Drosophila melanogaster: one gene and its partner. The protein of the gene in region 1 interacts with the protein of each later gene in a pairwise test. Each region holds a gene or a part of one and is shown on either strand. Other genes may lie near its edges. The genes, in order: mop and Rab4.

The links.
Region 2: the proteins of mop (region 1) and Rab4 interact in a two-hybrid assay, tested with the Drosophila melanogaster proteins (one study listed by BioGRID).

What each region holds. Positions count from the first base shown.
Region 1 is NT_037436.4:14,769,832-14,777,987, reverse strand, and holds the start of mop (myopic), read left to right. Parts: upstream 1-1,858; 5' UTR 1,859-1,992; coding exon 1,993-2,076; intron 2,077-2,480; coding exon 2,481-3,230; intron 3,231-3,296; coding exon 3,297-6,239; intron 6,240-6,305; coding exon 6,306-7,298; intron 7,299-7,362; coding exon 7,363-7,491; intron 7,492-7,551; coding exon 7,552-7,733; intron 7,734-7,788; coding exon 7,789-7,976; intron 7,977-8,031; coding exon 8,032-8,151; intron 8,152-8,156. Other genes in the region: bmm (brummer), read left to right, coding at 1-55, 222-310, 381-649, 1,003-1,187.
Region 2 is NT_033778.4:17,571,528-17,575,514, reverse strand, and holds Rab4 (Rab4), read right to left. Parts: upstream 2,054-3,987; 5' UTR 1,817-2,053; coding exon 1,801-1,816; intron 1,732-1,800; coding exon 1,651-1,731; intron 1,581-1,650; coding exon 1,248-1,580; intron 1,185-1,247; coding exon 973-1,184; 3' UTR 536-972; downstream 1-535. Other genes in the region: Dcr-2 (Dicer-2), read left to right, coding at 1-120; CG42239 (uncharacterized protein), read right to left, coding at 2,314-2,412, 2,482-2,592; UQCR-6.4 (Ubiquinol-cytochrome c reductase 6.4 kDa subunit), read left to right, coding at 2,811-2,863, 2,992-3,112; POSH (plenty of SH3s), read right to left, coding at 3,513-3,687, 3,749-3,987.

The DNA of each region.
Region 1 (8,156 bases):
CTTAATTTTGCAGTTGAACCACGCCATGCGGATACGACTGCTAAATAAATTCACGGTAAGTTAATTAGGTACCTGTCTTGTGATCATTTGCTTAAGTAATCAATTGAAGTGCATTAAGGCTGTCGCTCACATTTTCATAAATTTGTTTTATTTAGAATTGACGGCTGGCAATGAATTTGAATATGAAATGAATTATACTAACGAATGTGTTTTTATTGCAGCTCTATGACCAGCCTCACTTCGATGCCACAGGACTTCTTCATTCCAGCCGCTTATATGGACCCCGTGTTTCAATCCTTGTGGATGAATGGTAAGTTAAGCAGTAGGATTAATCCTCCAAGGAAGCGTTTAACTAATCGTGCCGTTCTTTTGGTTTTCAGTGGAGCCACACCGCTAGAGGACGATGTCGACAACTTTGAGCATGTCCTCAAGATGACCACGCACAACGACGCTCTATATGCCTATTACTATACTGACAGCAACACGAACAAGGTGAAAGTAACCGAGATCTTTGACTTTGACGAAATAACGGAGCACGACAAGCTGGCCACCGATCTGCAGATCTACGAAGGCTCTGTCGAAGATCACCCCAATCCCCACCAGCACAGCCACAATACGGTGGTCAGCGAATGGAATGGCGTCGAATCAGGTTGGTATTTGTGAAACGACCGCACTTTCAATTCAAAAATCACATCATTACGTAGAGAAATCGTATCATTTGAATCAACACCAAACATTTTTTGCAGTACAAGTAATGCCCACGACTCCTGAACTACACGACGTAGCCTTTTAAAGCACTTACAAACTAAACGACTATAAATGCACCTCCATAACCCTTCACCCACTCAAGCATTAAGTCCAAATTTTAAATCGTTGGCGCAGGTAAATGATCTAAATTTGCAATCACTCCCCCGTATATTCCCATAACAAAATTTCATTTTATATAGTTCGCTCTTATGAATGGTTAAACTAAACTCTGTCTTACTTTCTCATGCTCCACAGACTTCTTCATCGATGCGCATACACCAAATGTGGAGGATAGTAAAACATCAGCGCCACAATTCTCCCGCCTGGACCTGGAGACCGAGTCGGATGCTAGTGTGCTAAGTGATCCCGAGGTTGATCAGACTTTTAGCTCCACGGCCTCCACGCACAGCAGCGACATGTATATAGAAATTGAGGGGTAATTAGTAATGGGGAGGGGGCAATCCTCTTAGGAACTGTATCGAAACATCTCCAAAGCGGCTCGTAGCAAAGCGAAAAGCCTAGTAGCGTTTCCATTAGTCTAAATTAGTCTTAGTACGACCAACGTATGTACCTAACTTAACTTAGCCGTATGCTGCCATTGTATCATCGTCAGTTTGTAAGCGGCAATTAGCTAATAATTGCATTCTTGTTATTAGTCACCCTCACACGACTTGTATTACATCCAAATCCCCATCTGTGTTTAGCCTAAGTTGATAATGTATAAACAATAAAAAAAATAAACAACAAATATTTACAGAATGTCTGGTTGCGCATTTACTATTAATAAAATAACTAATTGTGATTAATGGGGAATTCAAGGAAGGAAAAAAAAAAACAAACAAAAATATGGTGCGCTTCGTCACTATGTAAACTGTCGTTCACAGTGATATATATGCAGTGCACTTCTTTCATCCATCTATAACAATTTATATAAATTGTTAGACATTCGCATTCGTAATATCAAATTTTTTAAATTTCATTTTCTTTATAAAATTTAATCGGCATAAAAATTTAATACTTCTGGAAAAGAATACCGTTCTAAAAAGTATCGATGCCAATGAATGGAATACCCCCTACGCACCTGCCATTTTTAGTGCATATTTCCAGAAAGCTGAAACGGCCACACTGCAACATTTTTCATAAAACAATCTTGTTTTGATATTGGTAAATTAATTGCCAGCAATTAGTTTAAATTGTGTGTAAAATAAAAGGCCAACTGGGCAGGCAACAAGTAAACTAATCACCATGGAGGCGGTGCCCCGTTTGCATATGCTCTGGTTCGCCCTAAAATCGAGTCCCGAGGGAACCTCCTTTGCGGCTTTGAAAAAGGTAAAAGGAAGAGAGTGCGAAAGGGGGAGTGAAATAATTAAGAGAGCCAGCAAAACAAAGAGGAGACAACTTGGTGAAACGGAATTATCGGTCAAATTGGGAAAATGCGTTGCTTATTGGATTCATATTGGAATCGAAATTCCCATTCTCACCATGCCATTTGCTCCATTGCATTTTCCGTTTTCACCAACTTTTAAGCCCCCTTTGTCTGGCGGCTGAGTCATCGTCGTCATCTGATTAAATTGGCAAACAAATAAAAAGTTATAAGCAAACACTGGCAGTTTGTTGGGTTATTGCACTTAATTCCCCATGAAAACCCATTTACCCTAAAATATATTCTTGTTTTCCTACACTAAACTCCATAACAAAAATCCAACTTAAAACATTTCACGTTTTACTTCCAGTACATCGCGGAATTTTATCATGAAGATCCAGAGGCTTACTCCAAAGAGGTCCATGCCCTGGAGACTTTGCGCAACCAGGCCATGCACACCACGAAAGATGGAGCGCCGGTGATGAAACGCTACTATTGCCAGCTACACGCCCTTCAGAATCGATTTCCACAGCTGGCGGATCGCGGAATCTTCACCTTTAAATGGAAGGATCTCTATCACAGTGCCGTTCACGAGGTCACTGATCTGCGATTCGAACGGGCTGCGGTGCTGTTCAACATTGCCGCATTGCACACTCAGTCCGGAGCGTCGGTGACCCGTGGCGATGTGGATGGAATGAAGATGGCCTGCACTCACTTCCAGGCGGCTGCTTGGGCCTATGGAGAGCTGAGAGAACGCTATGCCAATGTCAATGGCGGAGGGGATTTTATGACCCCAGAGCTGCTGGTCTTTCAGCAACAGGTGTGCTTTGCCCAAGCTCAGGAATGCATACTCGAGAAGTCGCTAATCGACAATAGGAAACCGCATATTGTGGCCAAAGTGACGGCGCAGATTGTGGTTTACTATGGAGCTGCACTGGCTGCTCTTCTTACGGGAGGAGATGATGGTCCAGTGGCTCAAGTCATCGATAGTTCTGTGTACAAACTGTGGAAGAAGTACGTTCGCTTCAAGATCAACTATCTCACCTGCATATTGTACCTATACCAGGGCCAACATTCCGAGGAGAAGCGTCAGATGGGCGAAAGGGTGACGCTCTACCAGGTAACTATAACATTTTGAGCTCTATTTAAAGGAAAGGTTTAAATGCTTACTTTATATTCCTTTCAGGCTTCCTGGGACAAACTGGAGGAGGCGCGCAAAGAGTCCAAGGGCCTTCCTGACCAGCGGGAAATCAATGAATCCCTCAGCTTCACCGCTGATGTGGTGGAAGCAAAGCGCAAAAATGCCAAAAACGAAAATGAGTTCATTTACCATGAGGCGGTGCCCGAATTGTCCACCATTGCAGCCGTCCAAGGTGCCAATTTGGTCAATGGGATTGGCTTTCAAGTAAGCGACGAGGAGCACGCGGGTCCAGACATCTTTGCCAGATTAGTGCCCATGAAGGCCCACGAAGCCAGCTCGTTGTACAGCGAAGAGAAAGCCAAACTTTTGCGTAAGTACGGAGCTCTGCTGGAGGAGAAGGACACCCAACTGGAGTCGTACATGAGCTCCCTCACCCTGGATAATCTGAATATCAACGAGGAGCAAGCCAATAAGTTGCCCCAGGGCATCGTGGATCGCTGTGCCGCCTTAAATGCAAACAAGACTGCTATCAGCGATCTTGTAGAGGCCATGTCTCAGCTGGCTGAGATTACAGCCGATGTGGAGACCAACCTGGGCGAGATTTCAAGCATGCTGGAGGCAGAAGCCAAAGCGGAGCGAGAGTTCCAATCCGCCACCGGCGTTCAACGAACACCAAATGCCCACATTACCGAGTTATCGCGAGAGTTCCAGAAATACAGTGAAGCCCATGCACGGGCAGGGGAATCCAATAATACCTTGCGGAAAGCCATGAGCCTGCACGTAAATAATCTAAAGATCCTGGCCAGACCATTGCCTGAGATTCAGCAACTGATGCCCAAACTAAGTTCGGAACTGAATACCACCGAAATTTTCAGGGATGTGAAGCTCATCCTCAACAAAGTCAACGAAATGAAGGCGCAACGTGCTCAGTTTCATGCGGATTTGAGGATAGCCATCAATGAGGATGATATCACTGGCAAAGTAATTGCCCACGGTGGACAGGAGGGCCTCCAAGCTTTATTTGCAACCGAGCTGGGCAAGCACGACAAGATCACCGAACTTCTCGATCAGAATATGGTGGCTCAAGGTAATATTCTGCAAGCTCTAACTGAAAACTATGCCAAGGCGGCACCAGTTTTGAAAACGCTCCAGGACGTGAAGCAGAAACGGGAGCACTTTTACAGCTCGCTAGCTGCATCCTATGATGTTTATGAGGATCTGCTGGCCAAATCCGCCAAGGGCTTGGAATTCTACAAGAAACTAGCCGGAAATGTACAGAAGCTACTTACCAGATTTCGATCCGCCAGGGATGTACAGTCCGAAGAGCGCCAGCAAAGGATGCAGAGCGTTAAGGCCGCAACAACTCCAGTTGTCAGCAAACCAATAGCGGAAACTACGCCTGTGCCAGCGGTGAGCAGCACCCCCAAATTAAGGGATTACCTCAAGGCCAAGGCAGCGATGGCGGATGCCTCGAATCCCGCCTATGTGCCTACAGTGCGTCCAGTGCCGGTGGGCTCGGAGAATCCCACGCAGGCCGCTTGTTCCTATGCCACTGCACCACCGAATGAGCCACCTCCACCCTATAGTCTCACACAGCAGCAGTATTTTGATCCCAGTGCCGCCGGCTACACGAATCCCATGTATCAGCAGCAACAGCAGCACATTGCTCCACCGGCCTACAAGGCCCAAGCATCGCCAAACTCTCAGACCCTCCACGGAGCGCTCGGTCAGATGAATTTGCAGGGCCAGTCGCAGGATAACAACCAAGCAGGCATGGCTTATAATTACGGGTATCCAAGTGGGTCTGTTCCTCCTCTAGCTTACGCTCCACCCGGAACAGTGCCCGCAAGCTCAGCTTCCCAGGGATTGAATATCCAGCAGCCTCTGTATGTGGCTACATCGGGCAATCCAGTTTCGGTTTCAAATCCCAGTGAGCTGCCGTCCACCCTGCAGGCACCCTTCGTGGTCAATCCAATGTCCAATCCCTACCAAACAGCGGCAGGTTATTCAGGGCAGGCTTACCAACAGGTCAATGCTCAAGCTCAACAGGTGACTTATCCTACAGCACCATCGGGCTCTTCAACAGGACAATCAGCTCAACAGCCCTTGGGTTATGCGCCAAGTCAGGGGCCACAGCAGCAAGCTGGTGGATATCCACAATCTCAGACACCGCAGCAACAGGTGGGAGCTTATCAACAGCAGCCATTATCAGGCTATGCCCAACAGCTGACGCCTCAGCAACAAACTGGATATTCACAGTCGCAAGCACCGCAGCTCCAAGCGCCCAGCTATGCCCAAAATCAGCAATCGACTGGACAAGCACAGCAGCAACAGACTGGATATCCACAGACACCTCAACAACATCTAGCTGGGTATGCTCAGTCCCAGCAACAGGCTACAGGATATCCACAATCGCAGACATCGCAGCAGCAGACCACCGGGTATTCCCAGTCCCAGACGCCTCAACAACCACTGGCATATCAGCAGCAACCATCTGGTTATCCACAACAACAACAACAGCAGTCACTTGCTCCGCAACAGCCATCACTTTATCCATCGCAGGCTGTCCAGGCGTCGCCACAACCTATTCCTGGCCAGCAGGCAACACCTCCGAATGCTGGGCAACCTTTGCCATATCCACAGCAGTACACTGATCCCAATGCAGCTCCAGCTCCAGCTCCTGGGGTTTCTTCTGTACCAAGTCCTGTTCCAGTACCGACTCCAGCCCCCACTTCATCTCAAGCTCAGGTTCCCACATCTCCGCATCCTTCGGCCACCTACACCAGCTATTCCAACCATCCTGGCTATAGCTTTAATCCGCAGACAGGTAAATACGAGTACAGCAGTGGCTATCAGCAGGATACCAGTTCGTTGAAGGGATCCCAAGCCTCGCAAAGCTACCAGTTTAGCCAGAGTGGCAAGCAGCAGTCGGTGGGAACAACGGACTCAGAGATTGCCAGTCGCAGCAATACCGCCACTGGATTCGATGTAAGTGCTATGCCCATATATATTAAAGGTATTGAGACCTAAAATAACGAAATTTTTATCCAACAGTCACCTATCGTGTCCCACACCAAGGTTAATATGGCAGCTAAGGACTCCACTTCTGCGATAGAGGGCAATGAGTCATCCAACTACTACTCCACTCCCTATGGATACCTTGGCAGTGTAAATCCGCAGCAACAACCCACTCCTGCGCCTCCTTCGAATTCAACTGCTTCAATTTATATGCAAAGTGGAGCGAGCAGCACTGCTGAAACCCAGACGACTTCCAGCGGAGTTCCTTACGCCTCCTCCGCGGCTTTGACCAAAGTAGAACCAAAGCCGGAGGCATTGCCTCCCAAGGTTACCAGCAATGTGGATCTGCTTAGCGACCTGGACATTGACTGCTCCGTTGCTGTTCCGCCGCCAATGTTGCCGCAGCCTGTTTTGCAGCCCCAGGTGGTGGCCACTCCTACGCCGCCGGCAAGTCAGGTATCGGTGCCTGTTAAGGTAGAAAGTGTGGCAGAGCACGCTGCTCCCGCAACAGCGGAAATTCCTGTAGCAGCCACCGAGGGAACTGCTCAAACTCCAGTTACCATTCCTTCGGGTCCGAAGTGTGCCAGTTTAGATAACCTATCCAACTGTTCCGACCTAAGTTCCCTGGAGAACTTTGACTGGGACTCGGTATCCGTTACACATTCCGTCAGTGAGAAACAGACCAAGGCATCTGCCACAGCCAATGGCCATTCGAGCAGTTTTGCATTCCAATCCGAAACTTTTACGGACGAAAAAACGACAAAATATTTCCAAAAGGAGGTGGAGAGCTATGAAAAATTACTAGAGAATTTGCACGTGAAAATGTTGAATGGAAAAACACAACTGGGCGCCAAATGGCAAGAGCTGCAGCAAAAGTTGGATAAAGAAGCCGCTGCCAACAAGCGATCCACCACCATTGCGAAATTGTTCCCGGAGAAAAATCGATCCCTTGATTGTCTGCCATACGATCATGCCAGAGTAAAGCTGGACAAGCAGACCGATGACTACATCAATGCCGCCTACATGAAGGTGAGTTATTCCAGAAAATGTTTTTATAGCACACAATCTTTAAACGCCGTTGTTATTCATTTAGAACTTGAGTGCCGGCTGTCCCAACTTTATTGTCGCTCAGACTCCCCAGCCAAATACCATCAACGATTTCTGGTCCATGATCTGGTCGGAGAAGTCGCGCACTGTGGTTTGCCTGCACACCCCAAATGAAGTGAGTAACTTCAGCAAAACTATGAGATTATTGAATCTAAATATTTGATATGTTCTATAGCTTTTCGATCCCTACTGGCCGCAAGCTTTGGACCAGCCGACTCATTATGATGATTACACCGTGACCTGCTTAAAAGTGCAGCAACTTAGCCACTGCTCCGAGTATCAACTTAAATTGTCCATGCATGGAGCGGACGCAGTGCTGGATTTATCTCTACTGCAGCTGAAACAGTGGACCAAGGGGTAACATGTCCAGATTTCGTCCGATGGAAAGAAATAAATAATTGCTATTTTACAGGGCTCCAGCTCAACTTCTGGGTGTGGCGGAAAATGCTTTGGAGACCCATCGACAACGCTGCAAGGCAGCCAATGCTCCGCAATCGCCGCTCATTATGAACTGCTTAACTGGTTCAGAGCGTTCCGAACTGGTGGCCATTGGAGTATGTGCTATTATAGCGACCCAAAACAAGCAGCCAATTTTGTTAAGTAAGCGTAAAATTTTATCACTGTAAATTAACACTAATCGCGTGCCCCTATTTAGATACGATTGATGTTTGGTCTCGCATTTGTGCGCAGCGTCAAAATTCGCTTAGGGATTCCGCCATCCTGGAGCAGTCCATGCAAATTGTGCTCTGCAATGCTCACAATGTGCTAAACAAACGTAAG
Region 2 (3,987 bases), on another chromosome or scaffold:
TGTCAATTTACCTGCATGGAAAAGACGATCAAGGTGTACGGATTTGGGAGCAATAAGGACCAGGCCAAGCTATCGGCTGCCAAGCACGCCCTTCAGCAGCTAAGCAAATGCGACGCCTAATATGATGATTCCAGCCCAGTCTAGTTTCTGCTAAACTGCATTGAATTTGCTTTCTAGCCAAGACGTAATCCTTTGGAAGAGGACAGCAAAGGGCACCTAATGAACTTAACTGTATATCTTAGAATTAAAAAATACTTTTCCATCGCTTTAATAGACATAAATGTCTAAAACCAAAAAATCATTTTTGATCACCATAAATTGTTAAGACCTTTTAAATCAAAACAAAAACAGCCCATTTGGAAACACAATCTAAAGATGCTATGCCAATTTCCTCAAATACAAACGGTTTTTAATTATTTTTTTATCAATTATTGCCATTTAAAATGTTTTAGCTTCATTGTTATTAATAAAATTTAATAGCTTCCCCAATACAATATTTGTTACCTTGGGTCGAAATAAATATTTTTATACAATTGAATTTATCAATGGGCGTTTTTATTTACCGCGTGCATGCTTCAATGGGATTTACAATCGGCGACGTCGTCAACGGCGTATCGCTACTTATTTACATTAAAAATGCCGAGTGTATTCTGTTCATCCTCTAGATCAGATCCATGTGCTTATAGCCATACATCATTTGTTGCTCGAGGGCTCTAGTGCTTCACGAATTACAAATTATAGTAAGTAACATTTGGGGTTAACCCGAAATCATAGGTTTTCAAAGTGGTAATTGGTTATGTTAAAAAACAAATCGATTAGCATTATGCTTACAATTGGAATGATTAATCTAGCAAGACAAAATACATACTAAAAAAGTGGACACACACAAGTACACAATACAACTAAGGGGTAATCCGAATGCGCATTCCGGTTTGAGATTAAATGGAAATAAATCAGCACAACTTATGCGACTTAAACGCGACAGGTGCAATCCGGCTTATTGATGCTGCGCTGTCGTGTCTGTAAGTTACGGAGAGCAGCTCCGCCGTACTGAATACCGCTGCCGATGCGCTCGGGATCCAGCTCTCCGGTCTCAATTTTGGCCAGTATGGTCTTTGAGCACTTGAGAAAGGCCTCTTCAACATTCTCCCCCGTCTTGGCGCTCGTCTCCAGGAAGATAAGCTCTGCAACGACAAACAGACGTAGAATTACGATAGGAAATTTATGGAGAATCCTAAAAAACAGACCGTTCTCTTGGGCAAAGGTGCTTGCTTCCAGAAAGGTCACATCACGCGCCTCCTCCAAGTCCTTTTTATTGCCCACCAAAAGGATCACAATATTTGGGCTGGCCAGAGTGCGAGCATCATTCAGCCAGTTTGTCAAAGCATTGAAAGAGTCCCGCGAAGTGGCATCGTAGACCAGGAGAGCTCCGGCTGCTCCGCGATAGTACGATCTTGTCACCGATCGGAATCTCTCCTGACCGGCTGTGTCCCATATCTGTAGCTTTACCGACTTGCCGCCCACGTTCACAATCCGCGAGCCGAACTCCACTCCGATGGTGTGCGAACTGTCGTCTTTGACTTTGATGGTACATCAAAATGTATAAAATGCATTAGGCGTGTACCATTTTCAGGCTACCACCAAACTTACACTTGCTCTCGATGAAGTGATGCAACAGACAACTCTTACCGCTGCCAGCACTGCCAATTATCAGGAACTTGAACAGGTAATCTAGGTGAGCGCCGAGCACCGATATTAATTAGTAAAATGCATTAATTAATTAAATGTGTGCTGACAAACCGTATGTTTCCGACATTGTTTTTGTTCGTCTTCTGCGTAGTTGTCTTCTTTGTTTGTTTTGGTTTTTCGGCCAGACTTCAGGACTATCGGATTGCTGGTGCGTATGGGCACCAGGAAGTGCGCAGGACACGATCAAAACCCGCAATATCCGTCGATAAGTAAGCGTTTAAACAATTAGAAAGCCAAAAATTACCTTAAAATCTTTGACTGGACTCACTTCAGTGAGAAGGTTCGCTACAAACGCGAAAATACCAACAAGGGGTGGGTGTGACCAGGTGGTTCAAAATATGATTCATATTGCAATTAAGTTTTTGTTTACTTTTAAAATATTTCCAAATATATGAAAATTGCCGAAAGCTACAAAGAAAAAACAAAATATGAAATGCAGCCCACAAAGGTTTATTGTCTTTTTTCAAAAACCCTCTTCTATTCATCACACAATTTGCATACATACATATATGCAATAAAAGTATAAAAGATGGTGGGCCCTGGTAATCCAACCCGGCACATAGTCTACGTATCCTTTTGCTTCTCTGGTTCGTAGTCTTGATAGCAATTAATGGGATCCTTGGCCGTATAAACTGAGTATGCCAATTTGCTGCCCTTGAAGTTCTGTAAACTCAGGGCAGAAAGGGAAAATTACTTAAAATTAACCATTCTGATAAGCACTATCTGCCGTACCTTCATATCGCCAGATATCAGAGTCCAAAGGAAAACGAACACCGCCGGTATCACAGTGGACAGGACAAACAGCTCGAATGTGTTAAGCTCCCCAAAAACGGATATTTTCATTTTAATTTCGTAATTTTTGATGAGTTCTTTGCGAATATTAGTTTTTGTTGATGACTAGTTGTTGTTCTCACGTAGGCCGCACAGTGTTGTCACACCTTGCTTTTAAAGTTTTACGCTATCCTACGGTCACACTGTAGTGGTATTATTTAGGACATTTGAAACTATTGCGTTCATTGCGAACATTTTGGTGCGTGTGAAAAGTTATTAAATCAACAAAAATGGCTTTCCGCATACCTTTTGGCAAGAAGCACGCTGAGATAGCGAGTTCCTTGTAAGTATATGCTGTCGTGCTTGATTCTGCATCATGAATTCATTAGTGTTCCCGCTCTTTTACTGCTACCAAAGCACACATTGCATAACCCCATCCAGAGAACTAAACTAGTTTCTTTTAATTCGTAGCATCCGATCTGGAGCCGGATTCGGAGGAGCTGCTGGCCTGGCCGTGCTTTACTACACCGACTGGAAGCTGGTCCTACAGTACGTGCCCATCTACGGATCCAAGTTCGAAAAAAGCGAGTAACCTTGCCTGCCGTAGTTGAATCCACAGTTAGCCTCGATGTTTTGCTTGGTGAATAAAATAAGTTAAAACGACCAAAGGGTATTACTGAGTATCGTATATTACAAATAACTTTGTAGAGGGCACAAGGATCGGTTAGATTATTTCTCTAGCTAACTAATCGCTAAGGCTTAAGTAACTGTTCCCTAAGTCTTACATGGCTAGCCTATTTTGATCAAGCATTGTATAAAAAAGTACAACGGCGAGCTGCCCATTCGATTGGAAGAGTACAAAACGGTTTCTTTTTTGAAAAGAGAAATATGAGATTGCGTATTTGGAAGCCCGAATAGACCGACGATTGAATCCTTTTAGACAAGTAATTTGGAATTTCGCTTAATAAATTCTAGTTTGAACCATAACTTTCCTAACAATCCGGTTCAACAAAGGAGGCGGGGAACAGCCCGGTTTTGTGGGTACGGGCATGGGTGCCCTTATACCAGCCGTTCTTCTGCTTCCGCTGGACGTAGATAATGTCGCCCAAATGTAGCTCTAGTTCAATGTCACTGTTTGGTGGATACGGCACAATGCAGCGGAATCGACTACGATAAAAGGTTGCATTAGTAAATCTCTAAGCTCACAATAATGTATTGCAAAACCCACCTTTCCCTCGTGCAGTAAGGAGACTTAGTGGTGGCGCTGGCCTTAATGGCCGCCTCCGTGATCATATTGCTGCTGGGACTCAGCACATGACTCGCATCTAGGCTGTGCGACTTCCGATGGCTGGGTGCAATAATCATATTGGCATGCAACTGGGATTGCGCTCCACCTCCAGGAATCACCTGTTGCTGACCGCCGGCGTAGACAGCTGGGGCCACGGAAGTAGTAGGTGGCGGCGGCGA